Linked DNA regions of Neodiprion lecontei. Each later gene encodes a partner of the first gene's protein in a complex. Links are inferred from orthologs where the notes say so. Each region holds a gene or a part of one and is shown in the gene's direction. Other genes may lie near its edges. The genes, in order: U6 snRNA-associated Sm-like protein LSm2, U6 snRNA-associated Sm-like protein LSm7, U4/U6 small nuclear ribonucleoprotein Prp4 and U4/U6.U5 tri-snRNP-associated protein 2.

Region 1 (6,657 bases):
TATTACCAAGAACCAGTTAACCGTATCCCAACCAATATCTGTAATCACGTCTTTTACATTGAACAAAGTAATTCAAGAATTATATACCCGTATATTTGGTTATAATATTCATTATTTTGAATTCAAAATTAATCTTTTTTTACGTACTGTGTATTATAAATTGAAGTAAAATCCAGCATTCATCATTTTTACTTACTGTGTATCGTATATTCAAGTAAAAGCCAACATTCATCATTTTCACAGCCAAATCAGGTAAATGGTGTGATTGATTCAGATGCGAGATATTATCAATTGTTATATATTACACAAAATTTATGTCAAACCTCTAAACGTTCTTGACATTTACAACTTCACGAGTGTCAATTATTTCAAATTCGCTGTCGCTGTCGTCGCTATGTTGAGAAATTTTCTGTGGCTGAAGTTCGGCTTCTTCCTCAGATGATGATCCTCTTTCAAAATGACCACTTTGGAACTTAATGCCATCAACTTCAACATCGTCGGTACTTAATTCCAATTCGGACAGTTCCAAACCGTCCGTGCTACCGTCTTCATGGGAAGGCATTCTTAGACCAACCAATTCTTTGTCATTAAGAGGATCTGTGAGTGAAATTACTATATAAGATACTAGAAAACTATCTCGGAGTTAAAGTATCAGTAATGTGAAAAAATGACTTCAACCCTCAGCAGTGTTGCTATTGTTACAAATCAAAGTGTGAAAACTGTACCAATTTGATTTTCCACTGACAAACTAGTCGGTGTAAGACTTTGATCCCCACTTTCTCCTGCTCGCTTTAACACTTGTAAGTTATCTTCTGTAACCGCAGGTAGAAACTCTTCTATTTCGCTATCCCATTCTGTAAGAATAATTCTTCAGATTAATGCTTGGTAAATACAGAGTTAGTTCTTCAAAAATTTTAACACTCTATCCAAAACAGCTGCAATTTATCTTGATCAAGTCTCACTTGTCATTCACCTTTAGACGTCATAACTTTGCACGGTATATGCAAAAGAATCCCAGGTCCTACTAAGATACTCATTAAAATTGTGTAAGCTAAAAGTGTCCCAGAAATTGCTCGTCCTGTCAGCCAGAGACCCAACGAAACTGCACAAGTAGAAGCGCAGAACTGAAGGGAAAAGGAAAGGCCATAATAGAAAATACTTATTTTTATATCATTCAACAGCTATAGATAAGATTAAAATAAATTTGGCACATGAATTGAAGGAACGCGATTAAACTCAAATAAGTAAAAATAATGATGTAATATTTATTAAATGAAAACATCCTACCACTCCTGGCTGTTGTTTGCGCAATTGCTTGAGGTTGTCAACACCAGACTTTAGCTGACGAACTATTTTGTTCAGCTGCTCTGACTTGACATGTGGGCTGTAAACACATGATTTGTTATCTGGGTTATTTATCATTATCGAATAACCAAAAATTTTACATTGAAGAAAATCTCTTACCGATGAATCCATGCAAATGTGAAATGTCAAAAGCAATAACTTACGTCGCTACAGTTGGTGATTTATTATCCTTTTGGGCCTGTGTCTCAAGGGTGCTGTAGCAGAGGACCACGACTAGCGCAGCACTGCTGGCTGCCGCAAAACCGCGAACCTCCAATACGACAATTCCCCTGAAAAAATTGAGATAAATAAATGTATAACTGTTCGTAGTTATGCTAAAATATCGAAGATCATAGTTTTTTGATTGTTATGTTCGGTAACAGGTAAAAATTTGTAATTAGACTTATAATGAGTCAAAGGTTCAATAAAATGTTCTATCAATTGAAAAAAACAAGTTTGTGTATCACCACTACAGATAAGATCTGATTTATCTTCCAGCGTCACTTCCTGAATACTGGTCGCACAGAATTGAGTACGATCATGTGTTCATATCAGTAAAAAAAAAACAGATTATACATATTCAAGGCTGAATAATACATTGCAATAGTATCTCATTAAAGTTTATATACAAATTCACACTGTCTTCCGATAGCTTGTTGTGAATATCTACGCTGTGAACAGCTGATAATTAATACATTACATTCTACGGAGTTAGACTGTATAGGTAAAGTTCATTTGCTCATATGTACACATACGACGTTGAAACAAATTTACGGCAATAGCTATGTTTCACCATCAAATTTCAATACCTCTACTTTACCATGTTACAAAATCAATTTTTAGTTAAGAAGAAAGACGCCAGCAGACCGAGAGTTATAATTTATTTTCATATGAGAAAAATAAATTTTTTACTCTTACAATATTCGATTCATTAACTTGTATGATTTTATATGATTCTGCAAATTTTAAATTCTCATTGTTATCGCTAGAAACATTTTTAGAGGTATAAACAGAAAATGTTGAAAAAGGTGGCACGACGTGTTAGCTTCTTTTGTGATCATATAAATTGCAAATCAATTTTTATGAGAGTATGGTAAATTTAGTATGCGATAAAAAGAAAAAGAGAAAAAATATTCAGCCAACGGGTAATATCGTGCAACTTACCAGAACAATAAATTGAAGACAATGACGACAGAGATACTATTCACTGAATTCTCCCAGAGCAAAATGCTTTCCAGAATTGTTAAAAATCTGTTGGACGTATTAAAGTTGTACTTAACGTCTCCGGGACGATTATTTTCGGACGTACTTTCGTCGTATTTTTCGGGGACATTTTCCTTCTCCCGAAGCCTCCAACGAAAATAATACGCGATGTTAGTTAATTTCTCCATGACTTGATGAAAAAAAAACCTCCTAAATGATTTATCAGTTATTGTTTTTAACCAGCATGGCACTGTTAAAAACTCGTCTCCGTATTATTTTTAGCGCGTGACAACGAAATTTTGCGACAGTCAGGCACACACCCCCACTTTGTTGTGTTCTACCTTTGATCTATTCGGTAGAAATTTTCTCCGTCTTTTATTCTATTTTATTCCTAACACACGAGAGTTTGTCCCCGTCGACAACCGCAACAGTAAGATCTCCGATAATCGCTGCGCAATAGAAGCTCACATCAAGCCCTAAACGCGTAATAGTATCTTCGCAATCCTTAGGACTGCGTAGGTCTCAACTACGTTTTCGCACTAATGGTTCGTGAAAATTGCGATGTTTGCCTACAGCGAAGCTGATGTTGGGAACCATGTGGTTCACCCCCACCACCTCGCAACGTTCAACCGTCCTTCTCCGACCTGGATATTCCCCATGCTGTTCTCTCCGTCCGGTGCATTCGCGTACCTTCCTTTCTCTGCTGGAGCGCTTTAAATATATCTATCCTTTTTAAATTACGTAAACCGTATTTATCACATTTCTTCTCTTTGTTCCCAACTATGTACATTTACATCCAAATCTCAACCCGATCCAGGCCAAATAACGGAGCTTCTATACCGTACGAATCAATACGGTACATCGATTATAAATTTTAATTTTATTCACAGTTTTCAATTGACGTTTTACCAAAATTTGTTAAGTCATTAGCGTTATTCTGCACATTTGTGCGTACCTATACGTACATATTGGGAACGTAAGTTGCCTGTCCCTTCCGCTCATGCGTCCCGCGCGCATTAACCCATGATTCTTTTATCAATACGATACCTCGACATTCCATCGACTATCGACCTAAAACTAGGCATCTGAACTATCGATATCTAGCTGCGTGTGAGAGCGTTATGTTCGGTTTTGTAACGAAGCGGCATAACCTCCAAAACTGAACGAGACACATAACCTGTGATTTTCTATGTTGTTCGGTAAAAATGGTTAGCGAAATATTTAAAAACGTCTTTGTATATTATCTACAGTTGAGGGGTTGTAATATTGGTCTTATTTCTTCTCTTTTACAGTTATTCTACTCGTTTTTCAAATCTTTGGTCGGGAAGGACGTCGTAGTGGAGTTGAAAAATGACCTGAGGTAACGTAAATATGCAACAATAAATCGTAAACATTCTCCGCATAATCTGCCGTGGTTAAATATACTTCCATTCAGTATTCGAGATTCGGAAGATACGGAGAAATTCAACAACGTCAATGGTCCACATACATGTACTTGAATAAATATGAATACAAATTCCGGGTTTGCAGATAGTCAGTGTTCTCAGTTTGTTGTCACTCGGTTTTCAAACTTGTCATTTGAGCTTTATTCGTTTTATTTGAGTTGTGAGAGTTATTTCTATTGTTGTTATCATACGATATGTTTGAAAGCTCCAATTACAATTTTCAAATGTTACAAGTTTTTTTTCTGTATCCATTCTAAGTTAACAAGCAATCCTGTTCACTTTTCTGACCGATTGTAACTCAGTCCATTTTTTCATTTCTGTCTGCAATCTAAATATTGATCAAACTTGCATTATGTATTATTCTTAGTCAGCTTTTGCAAATACCAATTACTCACCGTTGTTATTATTATATTTTCAGTATTTGTGGTACCTTACACTCTGTGGACCAGTATCTGAACATCAAGCTCACAGACATCAGTGTGACGGATCCAGATAAATATCCTCACATGGTTTGTAAAGTTACCACATGTTGATCAGTAATGCATGTTATAAGAAACTATAATCCGGCGAAGCCAGTACACAATAACACGTATTAAACATTTACTTGAATTATTCTATGTCTGGAGATATCCTACTTTCCTTAATTTTGTGATTCGGCAGTACAGAATTACTTGATCCAATTTTTGGTCGTCTGTTACAGTTGTCAGTGAAAAACTGTTTCATTCGTGGTTCTGTAGTGAGGTACGTTCAACTTCCTGGAGACGAGGTTGATACACAGCTTTTGCAAGATGCTGCACGGAAAGAGGCAGCTGTACAAACCCGATAACAAATCAGTACCAGTAATGCTTACATGTATGTTACGATTTACAATAAGACGTATTATAGACAGTTATGTTCAGTACGGTTTGATTGATAAAGTTTAATTTATTTAAATTTAATTTACGAAACGGGTGTTTATTCACGTTTGTAACAAATCACTGAATCTGTTGTCAACGGTTTGGCGAAAGTTCAAAGCAACATGATTGTAAGAAACTACAAATAAAACCTATTTTGTACAAATAGCAGATGGCAATTTTTTTGCGAATTTTTGGGTCTTGAATAACATGAGAAATTGAACGATTATTTTGTGTAATTATTTATCCCATACGTGCTTGAGGTACAGTGTTATGTCATTTTATTCGGGATTTGTTGCCAAGAGAATTTTTGAATTTACGTATCTATTGCTAATCAGGTCGGGTTGAAAATAATTATTTTTTATATCATTACTTCTGTCCAAAACCAAATAGAATCCTCCCATATTACAGTTTTTCGGTAACGATATTTGGTTTAGCAACTTTTTATTATTATAATATATTAAAGTACACTTATTATTAAACGTAAATACAAATATTCTTCTACATCTCTTTTATTTGGTATCAATCTTCATATTTAAAACTGAAAATCGATGTTTCAACGAAGTATATATATACGGTAAAACTAAAGCAACGGATTATTCTTTGGATTTAGCTATATACGATGAAATAAATATACGTAACTGGGTGATTAATTTTTTTTTTTTCAATAAATTAAAATATATATAAGTAATCATAGTATTGGTTGATCAAAATAATCGGTATCTGAGAAGGAAGTAAGTTTAAAAATCAACAACTCGAACGACAGCAATAATAGTTTACCAATTCTACGGGTCATCGAAGAAAACCTGACTAGAACAATATTACACAGCAGGTCGTTGAATCTCTACTCGTAAAAGGTACATCTACATACATGCGCGTACTTTGTTCGTTTCGTTTGAAAAATAATCTTCGAGTGAAATTCATTACGCGTAAGTTTCAGTTTAAGCTTGATCAAGCCCCAGGCTCCAAGGCTCAAACCCCTACGCATGTTCGCCGCTAAAATAACTGCTTTGCATCATGAAGAGTTTGTCTATCGGATTATGCATCGCGGCGTGTAGGCTCTGGGAAAGTGTCGGCGCTTCGTGCGGGGGAGGTCCGTGATGGGAATGAGGCCCACCAGGATGACTCCCATCCGGGCCCCCGTTATCCCCATCCCCGATATCGAACCCGGCCTCGGTACCGTCCAGAGAAAGGTCACTGCTGCAGAAACTCTCGCCGGAATGTCCCGCGTATGTGTCTGAAACGCAGATGAGGAAAATATGCAAAATCGAAAACATCAGAGTATCTTGGTTGGTATTTAAAATCAGTCAACTGTAAGACAAGGTTCGATTTATTCTTAGGTACTTCGCAGTGCGCTCATCCTCAGTGAATTAACCCACAAAAAATAAACTGAGCCAACGATGCAAAGTGTATATCGAATAAAATAGTCTTCTCGAAGAAGGAAATGGGGAAGGAATTGAGAGCGAAGTTCGAGGATCGCGAGCTTCTGCACTAACGATGAGTGACATTTCCAGTCGTGTTTACTGCACGGTGCAATTTTTTATCGTTATCAGAAAAAATATATTTCAGAGTCAAAGATAAAAATGAGTTTTATAGCTGTAATCTGTAAATCTAGTATGGTATATACATATATGCATGTGTTAATATTCTCTTTGATCATGGTCCTTGTAACTATTGCGATAAATTGATGTTGTTGCAACAATAAATTGTTGTCAAGGCCTTGTTTAGCTGAAAAATGAAGGGAAATAAACAAACAGATTCAATGTTGGAAT
Region 2 (6,590 bases), on another chromosome or scaffold:
CAGCGTGTTCCTACTGCGCCCAATCGATTTTTCTTGCAAAATTACGTCGATATAGGGCGCCGAAGAATTGATTCCAGCACTTTTCAAAATCGGGAAAATTTTCGCCAAAAACACAAAGGGGTTAGCCTTCCTTTTTTTTTGGGCAAAAAACTTTTGGTCTCAGATTGGATTTGTGTGACGCTTTTATGACTAATTGGACCACCAGGAACTCAGAAAACGCAGCAAAAAGAGCGTAGGATCAACAGCACAGAAATTACGATGGAAAGAGCACCAGCTGAAAAATGTCGAAAATTCGGGTTCTGGTTTTTTGGCTGTAACTTTTGACCCGCTGCTCGCAGCGTGTTCCTACTGCGCCCAATCGATTTTTCTTGCAAAATTACGTCGATATAGGGCGCCGAAGAATTGATTCCAGCACTTTTCAAAATCGGGAAAATTTTCGCCAAAAACACAAAGGGGTTAGCCTTCCTTTTTTTTTGGGCAAAAAACTTTTGGTCTCAGATTCGATTTGTATGACGCTTTTATGACTAATTGGACCGGCAGGAACTCAGAAAACGCAGCAAAAAGAGCGTAGGACCAACAGCACAGAAATTACGATGGAAAGAGCACCAGCTGAAAAATGTCGAAAATTCAGGTTCTGGTTTTTTGGCTGTAACTTTTGACCCGCTGCTCGCAGCGTATTCCGACTGCGCCCAATCGATTTTTCTTGCAAAATTACGTCGATATAGGGCGCCAAAGAATTGATTCCAGCACTTTTCAAAATCGCGAAAATTTTAGCCAAAAACACAAAGGGGTTAGCCTTTCTTTTTTTTTGGGCAAAAAACTTTTGGTCTCAGATTGGATTTGTATGACGCTTTTATGACTAATTGGACCACCAGGAACTCAGAAAACGTAGCAAAAAGAGCGTAGGACCAACAGCACAGAAATTACGATGGAAAGAGCACCAGCTGAAAAATGTCGAAAATTCAGGTTGTGGTTTTTTGGCTGTAACTTTTGACCCGCTGCTCGCAGCGTATTCCGACTGCGCCCAATCGATTTTTCTTGCAAAATTACGTCGATATAGGGCGCCAAAGAATTGATTCCAGCACTTTTCAAAATCGCGAAAATTTTAGCCAAAAACACAAAGGGGTTAGCCTTTCTTTTTTTTTGGGCAAAAAACTTTTGGTCTCAGATTGGATTTGTATGACGCTTTTATGACTAATTGGACCACCAGGAACTCAGAAAACGCAGCAAAAAGAGCGTAGGACCAACAGCACAGAAATTACGATGGAAAGAGCACCAGCTGAAAAATGTCGAAAATTCAGGTTCTGGTTTTTTGGCTGTAACTTTTGACCCGCTGCTCGCAGCGTATTCCGACTGCGCCCAATCGATTTTTCTTGCAAAATTACGTCGATATAGGGCGCCAAAGAATTGATTCCAGCACTTTTCAAAATCGCGAAAATTTTAGCCAAAAACACAAAGGGGTTAGCCTTACTTTTTTTTTGGGCAAAAAACTTTTGGTCTCAGATTCGATTTGTATGACGCTTTTATGACTAATTGGACCGGCAGGAACTCAGAAAACGCAGCAAAAAGAGCGTAGGACCAACAGCACAGAAATTACGATGGAAAGAGCACCAGCTGAAAAATGTCGAAAATTCAGGTTCTGGTTTTTTGGCTGTAACTTTTGACCCGCTGCTCGCAGCGTGTTCCTACTGCGCCCAATCGATTTTTCTTGCAAAATTACGTCGATATAGGGCGCCAAAGAATTGATTCCAGCACTTTTCAAAATCGCGAAAATTTTAGCCAAAAACACAAAGGGGTTAGCCTTACTTTTTTTTTGGGCAAAAAACTTTTGGTCTCAGATTCGATTTGTATGACGCTTTTATGACTAATTGGACCACCAGGAACTCAGAAAACGCACCAAAAAGAGCGTGGTACCAACAGTAAAGATAGTATGAAGAAAGTAGGGAGAAATTATCTAGGTGTTATTTATTTTATTCCAGGTTATGTAAAATCGTAACATTCCAATCTATTGTATCTATTGTATTCTATTACACGTCTCGTTTTCTGCGACGGTGAATTGCACCTGTACTAAGGCTGAAATTGAAACCGCACTTAGAAACTGCATTAATAATTATTTTGTACAACATTGTTTATATTCAGCTTAATGCAATATATATCGTAGTATTTTTTCCCTATGCTGTATTTAGACTCCTTGTGTCATGTTAGTTCATTGTTCTGCAACTTTTTATCTTGAACACCAATAACGTTGGAAATATTATCCTAATTATACCAGTGAATGTATTATTATAGGAATTATTGATATATTATATCATGAATACTATAATGCATTAGTGCAACATATTAGAACTATACTATTTGGAAATTTGGTAAATTAGTATACACTGACACCTGAACACTTGTAATAGAACTAAGGTACATTGAATAAACTGGAACTGGAACTTGGTAGCTATGAATTTGTTATTTTTCTCTTCCACCTCTTTGCAACTCGGTTTGCCAGCCGTAATGAATTCCTCTCTCAAAATTACGTTGATATTGGGTATGAATTAATCGATTTCAGCATTCACTAAAATTTGCCAAATATGACCTGAAAAGTTAAAAGAATTTACATTTTTTGCGATATTTGAAACAAAAATTTTTTTTATCTCAGCATCGATTTGTGCGATCCTTACTAGGCTAATTAGACCCCACAGAAGTCATATAAGGCTTTCAAAACCTTGTGAGATCAACAGCTGAAGAGACACGTAAAAAAATTTCCGTTCAGAGATGACAAATTTTATACCAATGAAATTCAAAAGGTTAAAAAGTTAGCCTTTCTTTTTTACGGCCAAAAAAATTTCATCTCACAAATCCGCAACGTCTTTGCTCACTTAATTCGTTCTATTTTCTACTTTCCACGTAATCAAAATCATACTTCCCACTAAATTCCACGTCAGAAGATCATTTCCATAAAGTTGACCATCTACATGTGTCGGTACGTCTTCGGTTTATGGTCGATGGCTTTTTTCCTTATTTTACGAACGCGGAATTCACAGTAATCATTCGTATTATTAACCGGCGGTCACTTGTTTTTTTACTACTTGGAATAACCTGAGAAGTAAAACATGTCTGTAAGTTTATCAAGACATACATCATGATTATAATACTCGGTACTATTACCTATAAATATGAAAGTTAATTGTCATTCCATAAATTTCTATTTTACAGACTGCTAATAAGGTAAATCAAGGTTATGTTTCAGCAACATAACCTTCAAAAATCGTCAAAGTCCATAAACTTAACTGTTATAATAACTTGAATAATGTTTTTAGAACCAAAATGCTCACACTGATCACAAGGAGAAGAAAAGGAAGGAAAGTATATTGGATCTCTCCAAATACCTTGAGAAGAACATAAGGGTAAAGTTTGCCGGAGGCAGGGAAGCTGCAGGAATTCTAAAAGGATATGATCCGCTCCTGAATCTTGTTTTAGACAACACGACTGAATATCTTAGAGGTACATCGTAGTCAATTAATCAGTTACCGTCTGTCCTTATAAGTCAAATTATTGATATTACCGCTTTGATAATTGGTTTGAAATCACTCAATTTTCAGAGTAATAACAAATGAGTAACATTGTGGATGATTGTGCCGTTTTCAGATCCAGATGATCCCTACAAATTGAATCAGGATACAAGGATGCTGGGGTTAGTTGTATGCCGAGGAACGTCGGTTGTTCTAATATGTCCAGTCGATGGAATGGAATCGATACAGAACCCATTCATTCAGCAAGATGGTTAACGGTTTATATTACACAAATTTTTATCTACAACCTTTTCGAATCACATAAGCTTGAAGAAAAAAACAGACCTGACACGCCATGTGTGCACATCCATCGACCATCGGTTTATGATTTGTTTCAAATGACTATGGATTGGTAAAACTCGAACATCTATCCTAACCACACGATGATCGATTTATTTTTACGTTCCACTACTAGATAATAAATATCATTTGTGGTTTTCTTCTCATGGTAGATACACATATAATACGTTCTTCGTACAAATAAATATCCTACTTACAACTAATTAAGGTACTCAGTCATATTCGAACAAATTACAAGCAAATCTCTGTGGTAATTACACACTCTAGATGTAACTACGTAAGTTCTTAAAATTATGGCATATTGCGTGATATTCTTATTGATCTAATTTCACCCTCAATTGATTTGTGAGAAAGAAGAGAAGTAAGTAAAATACAACGCAAGAAGAAAAACCGTTACCTTAGTTCAATCCAAACTCATTTCTTAACCAGGGATATTGTTTCGGACATTCGTAACACGTGTACAAATATCTATCAGACTTTAAGACACTACTGTACAACTTGCACGTGTTCGGCAAGGCGCAGGCAATTTCCCGGGGCTCGAATTGCCGCTTGTTGCAGTTCCATGGCTGAAAATTCTTTAGCTTGTTTAACGGCGTTGGATTTCGCATCCATTCAACCATTTGATTACTAGTTACAAAGTAAACGTCTGGAAGCTGCAGAGTGTCGTCAATGAATTTCTGGAATACAGAATAATAATCAATACATAACATGCTTGTAAATTGAAGGACTTTACTAATTTTGTGACGATTCTTAACGACGAGATGACAAAAGTTGACTATTACCGAGAACGCGTAGTGGTATGCTGGGTTCTTGAACCAAGCTGCATGAAAGTAGAGTCCATAGGGTGCCCGATTTTGTAGATAATGTCTGTTAAAGTTAACCGTCAGCATACGATATATTTCTTCCCCTGACAGATCCCGCGTACAAGAGTCAATCATGGTGCACGTGTAATTCTAAAACACGAACCGAAACAGCGATTAAATAGAAACTTCAGAGACCAATATTCCATGCCTCGAGGAGATATTCTTACCCCTAGCAGCAGTTGGTTTATCGGTATCTCCCAGAGGCCTGGGTACGAACGTGTTGGACACAACTGACCGGGGCTGCCGCAAGGGTGAGGAGGTTGATGATCTAGGGTGTAGGGCCAAATCGGTGGATTCGAGAACGGGGCTACGATTGTCGAATCGTAGGCGAATCCGAACTCCGTCATCATGAGAAACTGACGGTTCCATCCGACTTGGAGAAACGGCACTCGCAGTCCTGTTAACCGATCATTATGGAATTCGCGAATTGGAATATGAATTTATCATATTTCTTTTACTGTACCTCTGATCTCCTCGATTCGTACTCCCGCGTATTTGTGTATGATATTCGCCTCCCCGACCATTTCGTCGAACCAATCTTCGATAGTTGCATTTTTCGACCACCATTCTTCAGGGCCTCGATGTCTGCAATAGGAATTTCTTTCAACGATTACGCCGTGATTATCGTTCGGCGATGAATTCATGGAACTGAATATATTATTTGTTTCGGCTTGGATGTCCTGTCATTACACGTATACTCACGTTACGGAATGAACTGCAATTTCATGGCCATTGTTCCACAAACTTTGTACGTCTCTGTAATTTGTGAATTGATGGCTTACGTAGAATGTACCACGAATTGGGCATCCGTTCGGATTTCTCCTCGCGTCGTTGAATATGTCTGAAAAGTATGAAAGTGTACTGCGAAAAATGTACTCCTGATTTCGTAGAATCAAATTCGCAATGCGATTGAAGGAAATTCGAGTCGTCATTGTCAAGGAATCGTCAATTTTCACTGGCAGATTTCCTACCGATTTTTTTCTCCGATGATGCTTACTTGAGTAAAGGTCAATATTTTCGGCGTTGACGGCATCGTTGAAAGTTATCGAGATCATCTGGGGAATGTTGGAGACGCTCAGGTTTCCAGGTACTCTGGTACCTTCTTTGGAACACCAACAGTCTGGCAGGTGGCATTTTTCAGGGTCGCAAGACGGTGCCGCGTTGCGGTCCTTCTCTGTATCTGAAATCACAAGATGAATTTTATTTTTTCAATTCTTCCAGCATATCCTATATCTGTAAATAAATCAACTTTTCCAAGGATACTAATCTCTGAATATATTCCTAAACTTTACTATCGAAATTTCAGACGTTTATTGCTGGGATCCAAAGTCCACCGTTGGCCCCAGTCCAACTCAAGGTAAGAGCGATCGTCTTCCTTAAGTACCTAAATAACTCTCTGCGGTTTTGAATAATTCTAACGATTCTTACCGCACCAGGCCTCGTCCGAGGCATCCGGACAATCAACGCTTCCGTCGCAAAAGTAAAGGGAAGGTAAACACGTTCCGTCTCCACATGCCAAGGTATCATCCTCGCATTCACCGTCGTCGAGAAGTGGCTTCGGGGGTATTTCCTCTGTGTATAAGAGGTGAAATTGATCAGGTCATTAGGAGCTTTGATGTCGGATGAATTTGACGGATAGAGCATTTAATTGTTCGGGGAAACGATCGATCAACCGTTGAGATGTCACACTATTGACACACCAACGGATTTTTAATCGAACCTAAAAGTGTACATCATCAGTTCAGCTGTCAATCTTACCCAAACTCACGTCGCAGTTGTCGACATTTGCCTTAAAATCACATATCTGACGGGATACGTCGAAGAGTAAGCCATGCGAACACTTGAACTCAAAGACGTCGCTATCTGA
Region 3 (8,899 bases), on another chromosome or scaffold:
GGGAAAGACTGGAAACACATGTGCGGCCATCGCGTGCTGCCAATATCTTTCTTACCTGCAGCATCGCAGGAGATTGAGAAAAATGGAGATTGGCCAAATGAGCGTTCTGTCTCGATGTCCGCAGCGTATCATTCGTTATTTTCTGTTGGAGCTTCTAGCGGATACATTAGAAAGTCGATAGTGATTGGCTCACAGTTACTCCGCGTTGCGTTTGGTTAGCTATACGCATCTTCAACCCTGTTCACGATTCGGAACTGCGCCAAAGTCTGCGGCTAACGAATTATATCGGTTTTGTGAATCATCACAACTGGAAATAATAGAGTTTTTCACTTGCTGCACTCAGTGTACATCGACTGCAGCCACGCTAGTGTAAGGAATCAGGTGCGCTCGATAAAGGACTATTTTTCGTACAAGGTCGCGCATCACGCCATTTCATGTCACGGTAATTCATGGTGAACCTCACGAAGTAATACTAACTTCGTGGTGAACCTATAGCGCACGCGCATGCACGCGTACAAATTACATTACCTCAATACAACGTTGACAATTACGGAACAAACGTAGCGGGTCACGCCTCACGTTGACTCGGATCGTTTCATGAATTCAATAAAATGTACAGCTGTTCGGTTATGGGGCTTAAGAATCGTGGTGGGACCTGCAGAGGGAAATGTATTCACATTTCCATTATGCGTCGACTGAAGAATTCAATCAACGTTTCATGTATAACATTCTAATCTACTTCAGAATCTCAAACAGTTTTGAATCGACCGACTGCTGTGACGTCAACTAGCCGACCTTTTCGATTGGTTCTTCCGAAGGGCTGCGCCGTAGCACACTCACTGAATATGCCTTCGATGCGAGCCGAGCACGGTCTTACATACAGGTCTGGTAACTCCGGCACTTTTGAGTGGTAGGGGGTGTCACCGTTAGTGAGGCACACGGTCTTGTTTCCTATCTATCCGCTAGGGGCGCCATTGGCCCGGGGTATAATAGATATAGATATATACCGATAAGATGACCTGCTCATCGAAGTTTTTCACAGTTCATAACTCAGTGTAAAGTGTGTAAACGGTGTAAAAAATGCAGGATTGTTGATTCCGAAAAATCAGCTGTTCGGATCTGATTTATGATTGGCTCACCCCGAGGGGGCAGCGCTGCAGACGGCGAAGACGAAAACCACGGTTTTGCCTCATTATCTGAGTCATTCCCCACCCTACTAGTTTCCGGACCTGTATGTAAGACCGTGGAGCCGAGAAATAGCGTCATAATACCTATAGTGGGGTCTTTCCGTACAATCCGTTCCAAAAAGCTAGTTCGAGTAAACGAGAATTCAATGTATTCTTGCAGCGCTTTTACAGCGCCTATGTCAACCGTGGTCACAGTGTTGGTGGTTTAACTTTTTGCAGATGCTTTACGCTACTCTGACGAACGCATGCGCGACGCCATAAACCAGACAAAATTTCTCTCGGTTCGCTGCCTCTCTGTGCCGTAGAATAGCAAGCGTACTTGTTAGATTATAGTTCAGTGTGCAACACCTAATTGCATACAGTGTTGGCAGCTACCAGAGTTGGCGCTTCTATCGCAAACGACTGACGGTATGCATGTCGGTATGTTTGCATTTGTACATACATTCAATGTACGTGTATGTAATATACAAAGTAGAGAATTTGTCACGGGCTTAACTCGAGTGTGATGGGAGAAGGCATTTTTTCGGCCTCTCGATACATAGTAATTGGCAACTGTTAACGTTTATCGGATTTTCTTCGACAGTGAAACATTTACTGAGCCATAATTCCTTGTGATAATGGAAGGATGTACCTTGAACACGGTAAGTATTCACGTCAATAAATATGTTGTTAGATCCCGTCTAAACAAACATTATTACTTGTTTTTGAATAATAATAACAATGGTGCGAGGAATAATAATAACGAATTATTTATGTCACTTTGTCACGGTGGGGGTTGATGATGGATGGGGTGGGGGCGGGATCTGATAAAGGCCCATGCCGTGGAACGTAGGGCCGAGGCGTTAGTCAACGAGAGGAGGTATGAGGAGGCTGCGAGGTGCCACGAACAGGCTGCCCAGCTATTTTCTGAAGTCCAGATAAAGATACAGTTGCCTAACCTTGACAACGTACGGAATTTCGAGGTTGGGGAATCGACCCGATGTTTGAACCCCTTGACAAGGCCATCTCAATTACACACTGCTATTGAATCCATCCAGCTGCAACGAGATTACCATCGCAAACAGGCAGCATTTGTCAGGTAATCTAATTCGCCCATGCAATATACATTATGCATGTATGTAGAATTGTTTTAAGCTTCACAATTTCTATACGTCCTAATATTATTTTTACGCACATTGGAGTTTTATTATACTGAAGCTTGGTAGCAATGGTTATAGCATTGTTAGGAGGTTATTGTTCCCCATCTCACCGTAAACCCTTATCAATTGACTATAGTTGCTCAAGTAATCGTAATTTTTCGTAAATTTGTTCAGTCGAGCTGTAACTTTCGGAAGCTTCTAGTTTTGAATTTGAAAGCGATTCGATATATCTGAACACTTCGATTACTTTTACAGAATGCAGCAGGTTCAATACGAAGAGTACAAAGCAGCATTGGAAACACACGAAAAAGAACTGCTGTCTAATCAGATTGCGAAGCACTCTGCAAATTTGAGTTCGAGGAACTTTGTCACCGTCGACAAAGATGACAAGTTTCTTCATCAAGCTATCGACAGAGCAATGGATGAACAAGACAGTTTGATAGACCTAATATTGACACCGCAAAATGAAACCATACCGGTAAAACGTCCAAAAGATTCAGCTGTTGTGCTAGAAGAACTGCGAACAGTCAACAGCCAGTTGCGACTGTTAATCGGAACACTATTGAACCAGCTCGACTCTAGTCAACAACAGATTAAAGTACTCACTGAACAATTGAGAGCAGCGACAGCCCCTGACAAGGAGTCCCTCCACTCAAACACTGAAGATAGTTCAATAAGTCTTGCCCCATTGCCGCCGCTTGCCCCGTTGGAAATGCCGTCCTTTGACTTTGCCACTTCGTAATAGGGAAAATATTGCATCTTGGATGTGCTTAATATTTATCTCTTTAAAATCAGTCAAATTTTTGTCACAGTAAGAGGAAACAAGTATCAAGTGATAATCTCACAATAGTATTAAATATTTAAGTAACATGTGTACCAGTTTCGTTTTTTCTTTAATTTTACCACTTTGACCATCCGAAAAATACAAGTGTTGTAAAGGTTCAATTACTTACTTTGCTGAGGTAACAGTCAGTGGCGTACATAGTTGAAACACTGTTTAAGGCTTTACTGTGCATATACATATATTGGACAGGGTGCCCAGAATCCGGGAAAACCGAGAATAATCAGAGAATTTCGTCTATTGGGCAAAGTCAGGGAATTATGATGGAGAACGGTGAAAAACGTAATTTTTTATAAATAGTTTTCAATTTCAACTATGCTTCGTAAATTCAGCTAAGCTAACATTCGGAAATGATATTGTTCAATTTGTAATTATTTATGTGAAACGAAACCCCACTGTTCTTGAATCCAAATTTATATATTTCAGGTGCATAATTTCTGGAGCTTTTGGTCATAAAAGCCAACTAAAGTGACCTAAGGTTTATAGAAAAAGATCAGGGAATTTTTAATTTTTCGACGGGAAAAGTCAGGGAAAAGTCTAGAATTTTATTTGAGCAAAATTGTCGCTACCCTGTTGGAGTTTAAAAAATCAGTGTAGCGTGGTTGCAAATTTCCTGAGACATGCTTCTCGCACCTTAAGATATTCATAATGTCTTCTTTTTTAATTCGTGGCTATATCCCCTTAGGGCAAGTGCTAATGATTTGTTGCTTCACAAAACTTTCACAAGAATATTGAATACTCAGCATGGACTACAGTTAATCAATTGCAATGGCATTAGACAAGAATGCAATAATATGGTTATAGCTCCGAGTATGAATGCTGGACATAAGGGATATAAGTCTACCTGCATAAGATTGTGTGGGACTTTGCTTAATTATTTTGAACATTTTAAGTCGACAGTTTTCAACTTTCTCAAAGAACTCAAATCACACTGATTTGCATGTGTATATATACATACATATATCAGTGCCCGGGATGCCTCGCGAATCGTGCATGAAACCAATGTTAGAACTATACAATTTATGGACAAAGCTGGAGACCCCCCACCTCCCGAGTTTTCAGACCTGTAAGTACGATCGTGCTCTAGACTGATCTGTACCATCGGTGAAAAAGTAGTCTATGCCTGGAATAGCGTCCAGTATGGCTGTCAATGATAATTTACAATAACGTGACTGTGTAACACTTAATATTCGTTCGAAAAAAGATGAATTGATTGCAGCAAGTGAAATCACTATAATCAAAGAATACTTTGCTTTACTTTATAGCATTTCTGTAGACCGTTAATTCAAAACTTCTGTGAATGGTCGTAGCCTAACCTAGATTATAAACGTTATAAGCCGCATTTTGTGAAGTATTTAAACAAAATAACGTATTTATACATTTTTTTACTTGGATATAATTGAAATGTCCGACGACGAGGACCTTGTTTATGTAAAAAAGCAAAAAACTGTGCATTATGGATCCCTTGAGGAAGCTGAACGTGCCCGGCTCACAGCTACATCTGCAGAATCTTCAGATGAGGAAAGAGATCATAATAGGAGTCCATCAGATACGCCAACAACTGCTGCTGCCCTGGGAAATGTGCACATATCAAATGAATACATGGAACTTGAAGATGAGATGTCTAAAGACAGGCAAGCTTTGCTCGAAGAATTTGAGCGGAGAAAAAAAGCCAGGCAGATTAATGTTTCCACCGATGATTCGGAAGTGAAAAACAATCTGCGCCAATTAGGGGAACCAATTTGTTTGTTTGGTGAAGGCCCAGCAGACAGAAGGTCCAGGTTGAGAGAATTATTGGCTAGCTTAGGTGAAGACGCTATTAAAAAAAAACATGAGGACGAGGAGCGGCCATTGCATCAGACAGAACGAGATGCGGAATCAACTTGGTACCACGAAGGACCAGATTCCCTTCAAATTGCCCGCTCGTGGATAGCATGTAAGTATCAAAACGTATTGATTCAAATCAAAAGTTTGCACTGTAACAGTTATGTTTTTTTTTTTAGCGTATTCACTTCCCAGGGCAAGAGATCGGCTTGAAAAATCTAGAGAAGAATTAGAGCTTCCAGGGGCTACACGTACTGCACGTCGGCAGGAACTTCTGAAAAAATTACAGGCTCTCAGCATTTATTGCTCCCAAATTGGAGACAGCCGTCCCATATCATTTTGCCAATTCAGTCCGAATTCAAAATTACTGGCAACATCTTCCTGGTCTGGGCTTTGCAAAATTTGGTCTGTACCTGAATGCTCAATTGCCAGAACCCTCAGGGGCCATACCTGTAATGTAAGTTGTATTGTTTTCCATCCGAATGCAACACTCACTGAAGACATGCTGGGAGAAAATGCGTCGCCTACATGTGTTCTAGCAAGTTGTGCTTCAGACGGTAATTATTGACATGGTGAAGGACATGTATTGTTGACTCATGAAGAAATGCATCTATTTTGTAATTCGATAGCAGATTTTTTTATAGCTCACCAGAAATCTGTTCACATCAAAATTACACTGCTTATTCACATGAGAAAGTATTGCTCATTTGCATGCATAAATTCATCTATGCATTCTTAAATCGGTCATATTATCAGTCAGTGATTGACTTGCTCATACTTACAGAGTGGATGCTCAGCTTCTTAACTATAAGATTGTATTATGACTGGTCTGTTGCTTAGCTGATTTATCTATATAGTCATCTCTATCTTTATGTTCTCCTAGGAAGTGTTAAGCTGTGGGGTGGAGGCAAAAGTGAAGAGCCGTTAGCAGAAGTTGAAGGTCATGAGCCCCATAGAGTATCAAGGATTGCATTTCATCCATCGGGTCGCTTTTTAGGAACCTGTTGCCACGATGCTTCTTGGCGACTGTGGGATCTGGAACAACAAGCTGAAGTTTTGCATCAAGAGGGTCATGCCAAGGCAGTACATTGTATAAGGTTGATACTATTATATAGTTTTACTATTCTTGAAGAAATTTTTTCAGTCGATCTTGATGTGGTGACAGAAACAATGGTTGACTGAATGGTTTTTTTTTCACAGTTTCCAATGTGACGGCAGCGTTGTTGCTACGGGAGGCCATGATTCCTTTGGCAGAGTTTGGGACCTGAGAACAGGCCGCTGTATCATGTTTATGGAGGGTCATTTGAAATCTATTTTCGGAGTTGATTTTTCGCCTAATGGTTTTCACCTGGCTACTGCAAGCGAGGATAATTCGTGCAAAATATGGGATTTACGAAAAAGATCGTGTATTTACACTATACCGGCACACACCAATTTATTATCAGACGTGAAGTATCAGCGTACTGAAGGGCAGTATTTGGTCACGGCGTCGTATGACAATACTGCGAAAATTTGGTCCAACAAAACGTGGCAACCGTTGAAGACATTGCCAGGACATGATGGCAAAGTAATGTGCTGCGACGTTTCTCCTGACCACAAATTTATAGTCACAAGCTCATATGATAGAACATTTAAGCTCTGGGCACCTGAAAACATGTGAAATAAAAAGAAAATATTTGCTATAAATCCTGTAAATGCCCATTGTCTTTAGTGAAAATTTTCAGTGACTGTTTCTCCTGTTGTAAGTAGAATCGACTGAACAGAGAGACACGGGTTACCATGTTGAGGAAATTAAATCTATGACTGTTGAAAATTCATGATAAAACATTGTTTTATCGTTGTACTGCTGTACGGGTAACAATGTTTGTGGTGTATTCTGTATGATTTGCAGTATCAAACGATGTGGTGAGTATATTTAGAGCGCTGAATACTATTTCTGAGATGGAAAATTTTATAATTTGATAATCAGAGTTGCAGGCGATCAAACGTGCACGACAGAGGATAGAAGGCAGGCTTAATTGCAGGCAACCTCAGCTAGAAGCTGGTGACATGCGTCATTTTTAACAACAAAAACGTGCGATTTTCTCAGAAACATCTATAATCAATCCATTTGTATAACGCCGAATCAGCTTAATTTGGCCGAATGAAATTAATACAAATAAACACCTATATTTATCTTTCAGAGATCAATATTTTAATATTTTGAAGTTAGTGACCATAAACGAACTAGTTTGATTATATTTCCTCAGCTGTAAAACCTACAATGTTCTAGAGGCCTTTGTTGAAGTCCGGAGAATTCAATTTCTGACAAAAAGCTCTTGAAAGACGACTCTAAGTAGACAAATTTTCGACCTCCAAAACATCGCGGAACGTTGAAGGCCACTACTGAATTTTTGAAAAATGCTGGACATTCCCATCGCTTCGTTCAACTATATGGCGACATGATTTTCCCAGACAAATCCGTTGTGCACATGCTCAACTCGCTGCGAACGGCGGATCGAAGACTATTGTTTTTTCGAATTTCTTGCATGTCAAGTGATCCTCGCGATGAACCCCCGACCTTCACCTTCTCAGGCAACAATCGTCGCTCTGGCGCGTCAAAGAATTAATTCCAGCATTTTTAAAAAGTACAAAACATTTCACCTAAACTGCAGAGGGCCTTACTTTTTTTGGGCAAAACATTTTTGAGGTTAGCTTTACTTTTTTTTCACTTTTCGACCAAAAAATTTTTGGTCCCGGAGTTGGTTTGTATGGCCCTTTCCCGACTAATTGGACCCCCAGGAACTGAAAAAACGCAGCGAAAAGAGCGTGGGAGCAACAGGAGAGAAATTACGAAGGAAAGAGCAGCTGCTGAAAAATGTCGAAAACACAGGTTTTCGTTTTTTGGCTGTAACTTTTGATGCGTTGATCGCAGCGTATTGGGACTGCGCCCAATCGACTTCTCTCGCAGAATCACGTCGGAATAGTGCATGAAAGAATTTATTCCAGGACTTTTCAAAATCGCCAAAATTTTCGACAAAAATGCAAAGGGGTTAGCCTTACTTTTTTTTCACTTTTCGACCAAAAAATTTTTGGTCCCGGAGTTGGTTTGTATGGCCCTTTCCCGACTAATTGGACCCCCAGGAACTGAAAAAACGCAGCGAAAAGAGCGTGGGAGCAACAGGAGAGAAATTACGAAGGAAAAAGCAGCTGCTGAAAAATGTCGAAAACACAGGTTTTCGTTTTTTGGCTGTAACTTTTGATGCGTTGATCGCAGCGTATTGGGACTGCGCCCAATCGACTTCTCTCGCAGAATCACGTCGGAATAGTGCATGAAAGAATTTATTCCAGGACTTTTCAAAATCGCCAAAATTTTCGACAAAAATGCAAAGGGGTTAGCCTTACTTTTTTTTCACTTTTCGACCAAAAAATTTTTGGTCCCGGAGTTGGTTTGTATGGCCCTTTCCCGACTAATTGGACCCCCAGGAACTGAAAAAACGCAGCGAAAAGAGCGTGGGAGCAACAGGAGAGAAATTACGAAGGAAAGAGCAGCTGCTGAAAAATGTCGAAAACACAGGTTTTCGTTTTTTGGCTGTAACTTTTGATGCGTTGATCGCAGCGTATTGGGACTGCGCCCAATCGACTTCTCTCGCAGAATCACGTTGGAATAGTGCATGAAAGAATTTATTCCAGCACTTTTCAAAATCGCCAAAATTTTCGACAAAAATGCAAAGGGGTTAGCCTTACTTTTTTTTCACTTTTCGACCAAAAAATTTTTGGTCCCAGATTCGGTTTGTATGACCCTTTCCCGACTAATTGGACCCCCAGGAACTGAAAAAACGCAGCGAAAAGAGCGTGGGAGCAACAGGAGAGAAATTACGAAGGAAAAAGCAGCTGCTGAAAAATGTCGAAAACACAGGTTTTCGTTT
Region 4 (8,997 bases), on another chromosome or scaffold:
AAAGATCAGAGTGGTAAAATTTCACCAAACTAGAAATTGACAGAACTGAAAATCTTTGATCACTCGGCATTACAATGTTTCAGATTTAAAAATCTTCTCATTTTCGCTCTTTCGGAACTTTGAGCGACCGTTTTCGGATCATTCGAAACTTTGACGTTTCGTCAAAGTTTGATCTCCTCACTTTAAGTTTCGCTACAAAAAAAAAAAAAAATTCGGAATTTGACGCCTTCGGAACTCTTCAAATTCGGAATTTCAACCCCGTCCCAATCCCCTCGTCAATTACGAACATTCAAGTATGCGTACCGCAGGATCGCCCTGGAGGGACAAAATATCGCTGGCAATCCTTGAGCTGCAGGAGAAGGGAGAGATCCAGATGCTGTACGACAAATGGTGGAAGAGTCCAGGCGACACGTGCATGAGGACCGAGAAAGGGAAGGAGAGCAAAGCCAACGCCCTAGGCGTCGACAATATAGGTATACATTTATGCACGTATCTACAGACGACGTATTACGTGATAATGTTTACATATGTATCTCCGAATGGGAGTTTAATATTGCACACCCTCGCTCTTTCAACGCGTCATTAAGCCCGCCGCCTCAAATTTGTAGGCGGAGTATTCGTCGTCCTTCTCTGCGGTCTCGCATTCGCAGTTCTTGTTGCGATATTCGAGTTCTGCTACAACTCTAAAAGAAACGCACCACCGCCCGCCGAACGAGTGAGTTTCATTCATCCGGGTGGCAAAAATTTGTCGAGGACTTTTGCTACAGCTATGTGGCTGAAAGTAGTAGATTAATTTTTTTTTCTTTTCTTTTTTGCGAAGAATGGCATTGTCCATTCCGCACAATTCAATTGCACGCTTTATACTTTGCTCGCTTTGCTATTGCTTCGTAATTAATGCAGGTACGCAAGTTTCTTTATTTTACTAACCAAGAACTCGTCTCGAGGTAGTAAAGATCGTTGATAGGAGTATTTAGTTCGCATAATTTGATGCTTCTTGTGTTTAGTGCTATTGTTTTGCTACGATTTTCTTCACGAACAACAAGTTTTGGACGAACTAATCTGTTTCGTTTCATGACTAAACCCATCCAAGATTCAAACATTACAGCATGAACTCGTGGATTGAAGCATGACCGAAAATCTTACTAGCTTCACCGATTCGACGTAGGCATGAAGGTGAGACACGGTTAGACACAATCGTAAACGTGTTTGTAACAGAAATTTTCATTTCGTTCATATTTACTTTAAACCTTAGACCGAGAATTCTCTCGTCAAAATTTAGAGACCCATGATCGGCTTCTACCAAACGTTTCACCAACACGTCGACATTCTTTTACACGCTGCAGCAAATTTATTGAAACATCAACTAGACCTTTCCATTCGTAAAATCGTGGCATGGACGTTTGAAAATCGTTTCTATATCCGCCCTGCACGCTGTCTATGCAGAATTTCGCAAATGGTTCGCCGCGCAATTTTGCGAATGTCCTTACGCTCGCAGGAACTTATGAAACGTTGGCGTTTCTTTTTTCTTCTTATCCCGCAGCAACGGCCAACGGGACCTCCGACCTGCTCCGGTTCCCTGCAAGGCATTCCTCAGGCAACACAGCAACAGCAACAGCAACAGCAGAATTCCAACCCCCAGGAATCGCTGTGCTCCGAAATGGCTCGTGAGCTCTGTCTGGCGATTCGCTGCAATTCTTCAAAGCGCAGAAGACGGGGATGCGAAAAATGCTCGTCAAACAGAGGATCTGGTTACCTCCAAGAAAATCAAACCCCCACACCGATTAACGGGATGAGGTCACAGGTGATTTCGTAAATGCGTATAACGTCTTCCTTGGAAATGCATGCGATTCGAATATGCCTGGAGATGAAATCAACCCTCTAGGATATTTGCAATTACATCAATCGCCGGTTTTCAACGCGCAGCTTAACATCCGCAGATCGAACGTCGAAAGAGTTTGTATCGATGGAAGTTTGCTCGTTCCTGCAGTTGGTTTGTGTGTGTTTTTTTTTTTTTCTTCTTTGTTCTCTTATTATTTATTTATTTCAAACTCTCGAACTCGCTTTCCGCTGCACCTGTAGCTTTTGTTTTTTAGTTTACACCCAGCTAATCGAAAAATAAAGCTGTCGCAATTATCGCTGCGTATAAATTAATTTGTAAAGCACTGAGTATGTACAGTACCACGATAACCGTGTAATTTTGTAAGAGAAAAAACAAATCCCATTTGAAATCGGCATTGTTGTAGGTGTATAAAAAGTTTCGCACAACGGGAAAAAGTTTGAAATTTTTTCAGAGGAGTAGCTTGGGGGGCGCCATCGACCTTCCACCCCACATTCACATGCATCACGGACTTTCGCACGACTTCGACGTTGATTACGATTGAAGATGGCAACAAGTCCGAAGTTCTTCGTCATTCTTCGTTTTACTTTTGAAAAATTTTCACCCGAATTTTTCTCCTAGCGTGGTTGAAAATTTCACGCTTTACGTAAACTTGAGCAAAACTATGTCATTTCAATCGTTTATTACTTATTCATTTTTCCAGGCGTTCAACCGTAAGCGTTAATTCTGTTTTCTGGTACATTCTAATGCGGTCGGTACACGCGCGGTAGATAAATCCGTACGATCTCAGGCAGTTATTCGTGGTTTCACCGTCCTTTGCCAGATCAATTGTCTCAGATCTATAAACGGATTTACAACTCACGTTTGCTGATTGATCAGAGCCGAGTACAATTGAGTTCACTGCACAGAATTATTGTAATATGTAATTATAAACGATTTAGAGGAGTTGAGTTGAAATTGTGATTGTTATTGTTGGAACGACGATACCATGTGAACTATAGTACCTCTTGATACACATGACGTGTTTTACACGTCGTGTATAACGAACAATATAATATACAGGTGAATGGTAATGACGAATCCAAATCGCGATCATGATATATATTTATTGTAAATAAATAGTCGGTATAGATGTATACATACGGATTTAGTATGTATAACGATAAGCGAGAACTTGTCTAGTTTATACATTTGAATTTAAATGTGTAATTATTATTGTGTAATATCATAATAAGACGATGAATGTTAGTATTAAAGAGTACAACTTATAATATTTACACACATCTATACATGTTGCATTCGTGTGAGCTGTGCAGATAATTATGTTTAGGCTATTCATATTGATACAGGTATAATATACGTTGCATAATCCGTGAGAATTGCATTCCGCTTATGGTATTTTTTTCGTATTTCCTTGTACGATTATGCGGAAAAATAATCGAAAATGAAAAACGTTTTTGGAACTAATTTTAATTAATTCTTTTAATAAATGTAATTTTAATTATTTCAATTTTATTAAATTTTAAGTAAACGCAGGCTGGGTATCGATACATACTAAAGTGGATCGTTACACAAAGCGTAATAATAGCCATAGTGGAGTGCCAATGTAGTGGTCGAAACCGAACGAATTAAATTACCAAACGATGTTAAGTATTGCAGCATAAATAGATGTTTAACAAACTTTGTGTGCTTGAAATCTAGCCCAAACATTACTCATCATCTACTGGTGAATATCCCTGGGAAAACTGAACACATGGATTCACAAAAAGGATTGATCGATCGTATTGTCACTCGATACGATTGAGACCGTGGATACGTTGCCGTTCGACGATCAACTTCCTAAAAATCTCTGTGAAAAAAAAATCATTTCATTAAAGGAAAAAAAGTTTTATCGAAGTCATTTTTGAAATCGATAATTATTGCGTATTGGTAAAATAGACAAGCAGCGAATTTGTTTTTCTATTGAATCGAGAGAAACCAATCTATTCTTTCATTTCTTCATTTCTACAGCTGCGATGTTTTGCAACTTCGGTAAACAATGATTACGTAAATTAAGTATAGATCTTATCGCATTGACGCATGATTGTGCAAATATAGTGCGATTGGTTCATCCCTCTTGTAAATCCAGATTCTCTCCTACAATGGAAATGCGCTAGTTGAGTAAATGATAAATGATTAATGTTTTGAAATATATTTGGGTAGTCAAAGTTTCTTAGATTCTCGTTCTTGCTGCAACAACATCAATCGTTAATGTCTGTTATTTGTTTTGCTTCGACCGCTACAGCGGCACTTCGCTATGATAAGCACGCCCTGTATTATGCATTACTTGCCGGATGGTAAGTACCGCAAAGCGTTTACTGAAGATAACTATACATTTTCATTATTTAGCAAGTCCGCATTTGGCAAATTCACCGACTACCGATAAATTCGTCAGTATTTGAACCGACTCGAAGTAAGTTTCATTCGACTCTCGAGTTATTCATCGGTAGTCGAAGAACCTCGATGGTCGGAGGTCGAAAAACTAACAAACATCAATGATGGCGTCCAGGAAACAGGGAAGTAAACTAAAGAGGAAATTAGTGGAACACGGCAGTGATTCGGACGACGATAACGATGGTAACTGTTGTAATTCAAATAATAAATAATACCGTTGTTTTTGTGATAATATGTCTGCCCGAGTAAAAAGTTTTTCATCAACGCAACGGCACATAACCTAAACTAACCTACAAGTTCGTCACGTTCGGCTTGCATTTTATTACTTGATTGAAACATCAATTATCCTCATTCCCAATTAGACATACAGCAAATATATCCGTTTTTGCCAGTAGTAAGTGATTCCGAATTCGGGAAACTTGTTTATTATCTCAAGTGACAAACCTTACCTTGAATCTTTGAGTATAATTCATTGAATGACTTTGGTATCTCGATTTTCATGCCTCGGTATCTCGAAATCATTTACAAACCGATCAATTTTCATGTGGTTCATTTTTATTTTCTTACAGCGCAGCAAAAAACCTATAGATCGAACTCAGAGGCTCCACGTCTGTGCCCTTACCTCGATACGATCAATCGTCAATTCTTGGATTTTGATTTTGAGAAATTGTGTTCTGTGTCTCTTTCCAGAATCAACGTTTACGCTTGTTTAGTTTGTGGTAAATATTTCCAAGGTAGAGGCACTAACACTCACGCCTATACTCATAGCGTCGCTGAAAGTCATCATGTATTTCTTAATCTTCACACGCTTAAATTTTATTGTTTACCGGACAACTATGAAATTGTCGGTAAGTTGACATACCTATATAATATAAATCTTCTGATTTCGACTCAACCCTGACCCTGTTGCTAATGTTTACAGATTCATCCCTTGACGACATAAAGTACGTTCTAAATCCTACTTTTGATAAATGGCAAATTTCTCAGTTGGACAAAAGTGACAAATTATCCAGAGCTATAGATGGCTCGATGTATTCACCCGGAATAGTCGGAATGAACAACATTAAGGCAAATGATTACTGCAACGTCATTTTGCAGGTAAATTTGGACAATCAACGCCAAATATGACACTTGCGAAAAGCAACCTCGATATATTTTTCTGTACAGGCTTTGTCTCACGTTACTCCATTGCGAGATTTCTTCCTGAGAGAATATAATTACTCCCATGTGAAACGACCGCCAGGAGATTCGTCTTACCTTCTAGTCCAGAGGTTCGGAGAGTTGATGAGAAAGTTATGGAATCCCAGAAATTTCAAGGCTCATGTCAGCCCGCATGAAATGCTTCAAGCTGTTGTATTGTGGAGCAAAAAAAGATTCCAATTCACAGAACAAGGTTGTCCAGATTTTTACGATGATTATACGCACGTTTCTTGTCATGGTGAACTCACATTTTTGCGCCACAGGTGATCCGGTGGATTTTCTGTCCTGGTTTCTCAACGCGTTGCATCTGGCGCTAAATGGGACGAAAAAAAAAGACTCTAGCATTATATACAAAACGTTTCTTGGCCACATGCGGATTTATACACGGAAAATACCGCCACTAGAACTGGAAGAGAGTCAACGAAGTGAGCTTCTGAATACACTCGAGTATGGAGAAACCGTAACTGAAAGCCCTTTCTTGTACCTGACTTGCGATCTGCCCCCACCTCCGCTCTTCAAGGACCAATTTACGGAAAATATCATTCCTCAGGTTAGCAAGGCAAATCGATATTGTTGGTCATCACGTAAAACTCGTTCCATTCAATATCGGGCACTTTGGTAATTTTATTCTTTAATTGACAGGTGAATTTGTATACATTACTAAACAAGTTTAATGCAGTAGCCGAAAAAGAGTATAAAACGTACAAGGAAAATTTCATGAAGAGATTTGAAATCACCGAACTACCACCTTATCTTATTTTGTACATCAAGGTACGTGAATAAAATACGATTTACGAACTAATTATTCAAAATTAAAAAAACGATACCAAAAACTTTTTTACACGTTACAGAGATTTACGAAGAATACTTTCTTCGTCGAGAAGAATCCCACCATCGTTAATTTTCCCGTCAAGTGAGTGCTTGCTTGCTTTTGTACTTTTCAATAACGCAATTACAATAATTACATTTGAGTAAAATAATTTTTTCCCCAAATTACATTGCAGAAATGTAGATTTCGGTGATATCCTCACGCCGGAAGTTAAGGCTAGACACCCGTACACGACGTACGACTTGGTAGCGAACATAGTTCACGACGGTGAGCCCGGTCAAGGAACGTACAGAGTTCACGTTTTGCACAGAGGGACAGGCCAGTGGTACGAGATGCAGGATTTACACGTGACGCAAATATTACCGCAAATGATTACGTTGACTGAAGCTTACATTCAGGTAAGCATATCATTACCCTGATGACCGTAATGCAACTTCATAATCTTACACACCAATTTATTGCAGATCTATGAATTACGGAGAGAAGCTGGCTTCGAAACCGAAGGATTCCAGACAGCGAAATAAATAATTGTACAAACAGGGAGGAGGACGCCTAATGAACCATTTAATAAAGTACGATATTTTAAACAATTAATAGCCACTGAACCTTTTCTCCACACAGAGTGTCTTGAAACGAGGAGAGAAGGATAGTAAAAAATCGTGTCACACAGAAACGTCCCTACTTTCAAACCAATCGATCGGAAAGCCAAGGATTTTCATTCAGGCTGAATAGTAATTTTTATTTATAGAAAGATGACGCACGCTCCGGGTCGTTGAACTAAGGTGGCAAAGAAAGAGAAAAACAGTAAATCGATACTGGTGACGCAATTTATTACCCATCGAATACAACTTTCAATTTTTTTTACGAGTAATCGTGCCCTTGAAGACTCCGGAAATTAGCAGCAATCGTTCGGCTGCGATATTAGGAAGAGGATAAGACGTAATGTACGATATTCAGATACATTAATCTATTTACAGATATTGTTGATGTTTTAAAACAAAAATCTGATTTAAAAAATAACGTCGTGCCTCACTTCGAATATACCGGCAGGGTTGCCAAGTCAATCCTGAACCTGAAAAAACAAAGAAGAAGCAAATGAGTTGGAAACAGGATCCCCGGGATCGGCAGTTCGCTTCACTGCGTTCCGTAGCCGTCGTTTGTTCGATACACGTGGAAGTATCGAGTCTATACGAGTCGCGCGTGGCCAATAAATCGCTATAAAACCTTTGAAAATCGCATCGCTCGGTAGTCGTCGGAGGTCACGCGATACGATAATTTCTTAAAAACCGTCAGAGCTTCGGATCGCGTGCAGCCGGCGTAAAAGCTCCTCAAAACATATCCGAAAGCGAACCTTCCGCGGCTTCGAACGCGTTATCGGCGCATGCGCAGAAGCCTCCAGCGCGGCCCGGCTCGACGTGACGCGCAAGGCGGCGGGACAACGCCGAACTCTCGGCAGCGATCGAGTCTTGAGTCGGCTCCGAGCCGTGCGCGAGTTCGTTTCATCGAAAGATAAAGGTATTCGTGTTTACACGCGGTCGGTCGACTTGTTTTCGAATCGAAACCCCCGAACGAACCGTCGTGAAGTTGTCTGTTGCCTATCTGTGCTGTGTACGTATCCGTGTGTGTGAGTGTGATCAGTGCGAGATGGATTAACCGATCGGAACTCATCCTTCTTCGAAATTACAATTTCCAAGAGAAACAGCCGAGAATGTAAGTAAAACAATTGAATTTTGATCACGCCGCGCGGTCTGTGCCTGCCTTCAAAGTCACCAAATCAAACGTTCCGATAAGTAAAGCAATTGAATCTTGCCCACTCGCGTGATTCATGCCTGTCTTCAGGTCTTACAAATAGACCGAACGTTGTCACTTGTAAGGTATGCACGGATGCATACACGATATATCGGCAGTTGGGATCGAAGAGGCGATTCTAATACCTCGCAGCAGCCGTGAATCGGAATTTCGGCAGGATAATGATGCTGTTGGTTTAAATGTAAATGAATGGTGCTGCTGCTGGCGGCTGTAACGGTTGTGCCTGGATCCAACACCTGACTACTCGCCGCATCGAGGTGTGTAATATACTGCCCTTGTCACGAATATTTGACCGCGCGACTATAGTCGAAGCGTCGCCAGTCAGCCGCCTTGAATGCACCTTATATTCACAAAAATCTCAGCCTTTTTTGTTATCAACGTTTTCAAATGCACACGGATCGCGGGCGGCTGCTGCACGCGCGCTAAGAATTAGATACAAAAACACCTCGATCAAGAGACGCGTTCATCTACCCGCGCAATTAACTGTACCGTTACCGTCTCATGCCTCGTTCATACATGGACGTATGCACGCCACACTAGGAATACCGTATCTACTATCTTGCGCGTAAGTCAGTGTAACGTGTTACGTTCCTCAGCTTTTTTGCGTGCGCCAGTTTCTCGTACATCATCTGCGGCGTGTGCATTCGATGTACACACGTGCGATATGTCTAGCTGTTTCACCTCGCCGTACGCGATGTAGGTATAGGTATACAAGTATTTCAACAACTGAGTAAACTGGTTAATTTTACGAGGCTGACTGTTACTAACCTAATTGTAATGATTCGTATTTCGTAATTTTAGGAATCTATGATGTGCGGTAAATTATAGTAAGGCAGGAGTAATTCCTATTTTCAAAACATAGCCACTTCAAAGTTACTACAAAATTGCA

The links.
Region 2: U6 snRNA-associated Sm-like protein LSm2 (region 1) and U6 snRNA-associated Sm-like protein LSm7 share a complex: the UniProt entries of both Homo sapiens proteins name them as parts of the precatalytic spliceosome. The link is inferred for Neodiprion lecontei from reciprocal best matches to the Homo sapiens genes LSM2 and LSM7.
Region 3: U6 snRNA-associated Sm-like protein LSm2 (region 1) and U4/U6 small nuclear ribonucleoprotein Prp4 share a complex: the UniProt entries of both Homo sapiens proteins name them as parts of the precatalytic spliceosome. The link is inferred for Neodiprion lecontei from reciprocal best matches to the Homo sapiens genes LSM2 and PRPF4.
Region 4: U6 snRNA-associated Sm-like protein LSm2 (region 1) and U4/U6.U5 tri-snRNP-associated protein 2 share a complex: the UniProt entries of both Homo sapiens proteins name them as parts of the U4/U6-U5 tri-snRNP complex. The link is inferred for Neodiprion lecontei from reciprocal best matches to the Homo sapiens genes LSM2 and USP39.

The regions. Positions count from the first base shown.
Region 1 is NC_060261.1:37,242,180-37,248,836, forward strand, and holds U6 snRNA-associated Sm-like protein LSm2, read left to right. Parts: upstream 1-3,503; 5' UTR 3,504-3,512; coding exon of another isoform or gene 3,513-3,607; 5' UTR 3,608-3,752; coding exon 3,753-3,755; intron 3,756-3,839; coding exon 3,840-3,907; intron 3,908-4,410; coding exon 4,411-4,501; intron 4,502-4,692; coding exon 4,693-4,818; 3' UTR 4,819-5,053; downstream 5,054-6,657. Other genes in the region: reticulophagy regulator 3, read right to left, coding at 326-597, 726-854, 974-1,124, 1,288-1,384, 1,509-1,634, 2,509-2,735; LIM homeobox transcription factor 1-beta-like, read right to left, coding at 5,866-6,122. UniProt on the Homo sapiens protein: Plays a role in pre-mRNA splicing as component of the U4/U6-U5 tri-snRNP complex that is involved in spliceosome assembly, and as component of the precatalytic spliceosome (spliceosome B complex).
Region 2 is NC_060260.1:39,227,081-39,233,670, reverse strand, and holds U6 snRNA-associated Sm-like protein LSm7, read left to right. Parts: upstream 1-3,025; 5' UTR 3,026-3,101; coding exon 3,102-3,107; intron 3,108-3,204; coding exon 3,205-3,216; intron 3,217-3,308; coding exon 3,309-3,492; intron 3,493-3,636; coding exon 3,637-3,776; 3' UTR 3,777-4,256; downstream 4,257-6,590. Other genes in the region: chitin deacetylase 1, read right to left, coding at 4,259-4,537, 4,643-4,813, 4,891-5,120, 5,187-5,308, 5,426-5,564, 5,721-5,903, 6,152-6,295, 6,482-6,586. UniProt on the Homo sapiens protein: Plays a role in pre-mRNA splicing as component of the U4/U6-U5 tri-snRNP complex that is involved in spliceosome assembly, and as component of the precatalytic spliceosome (spliceosome B complex).
Region 3 is NC_060265.1:31,358,113-31,367,011, reverse strand, and holds U4/U6 small nuclear ribonucleoprotein Prp4, read left to right. Parts: upstream 1-3,352; 5' UTR 3,353-4,571; coding exon 4,572-5,103; intron 5,104-5,170; coding exon 5,171-5,548; intron 5,549-5,874; coding exon 5,875-6,088; intron 6,089-6,191; coding exon 6,192-6,651; 3' UTR 6,652-7,175; downstream 7,176-8,899. Other genes in the region: nuclear receptor-binding factor 2, read left to right, coding at 1,805-1,828, 2,000-2,265, 2,582-3,068. UniProt on the Homo sapiens protein: Plays a role in pre-mRNA splicing as component of the U4/U6-U5 tri-snRNP complex that is involved in spliceosome assembly, and as component of the precatalytic spliceosome (spliceosome B complex).
Region 4 is NC_060260.1:4,203,220-4,212,216, forward strand, and holds U4/U6.U5 tri-snRNP-associated protein 2, read left to right. Parts: upstream 1-3,479; 5' UTR 3,480-4,371; coding exon 4,372-4,453; intron 4,454-4,839; coding exon 4,840-5,118; intron 5,119-5,192; coding exon 5,193-5,368; intron 5,369-5,437; coding exon 5,438-5,663; intron 5,664-5,733; coding exon 5,734-6,020; intron 6,021-6,112; coding exon 6,113-6,241; intron 6,242-6,321; coding exon 6,322-6,383; intron 6,384-6,474; coding exon 6,475-6,697; intron 6,698-6,763; coding exon 6,764-6,823; 3' UTR 6,824-6,871; intron 6,872-7,047; 3' UTR 7,048-7,319; downstream 7,320-8,997. Other genes in the region: glutamate receptor ionotropic, kainate 2, read left to right, coding at 309-473, 609-715, 1,541-1,801, 1,938-1,994, 2,292-2,381.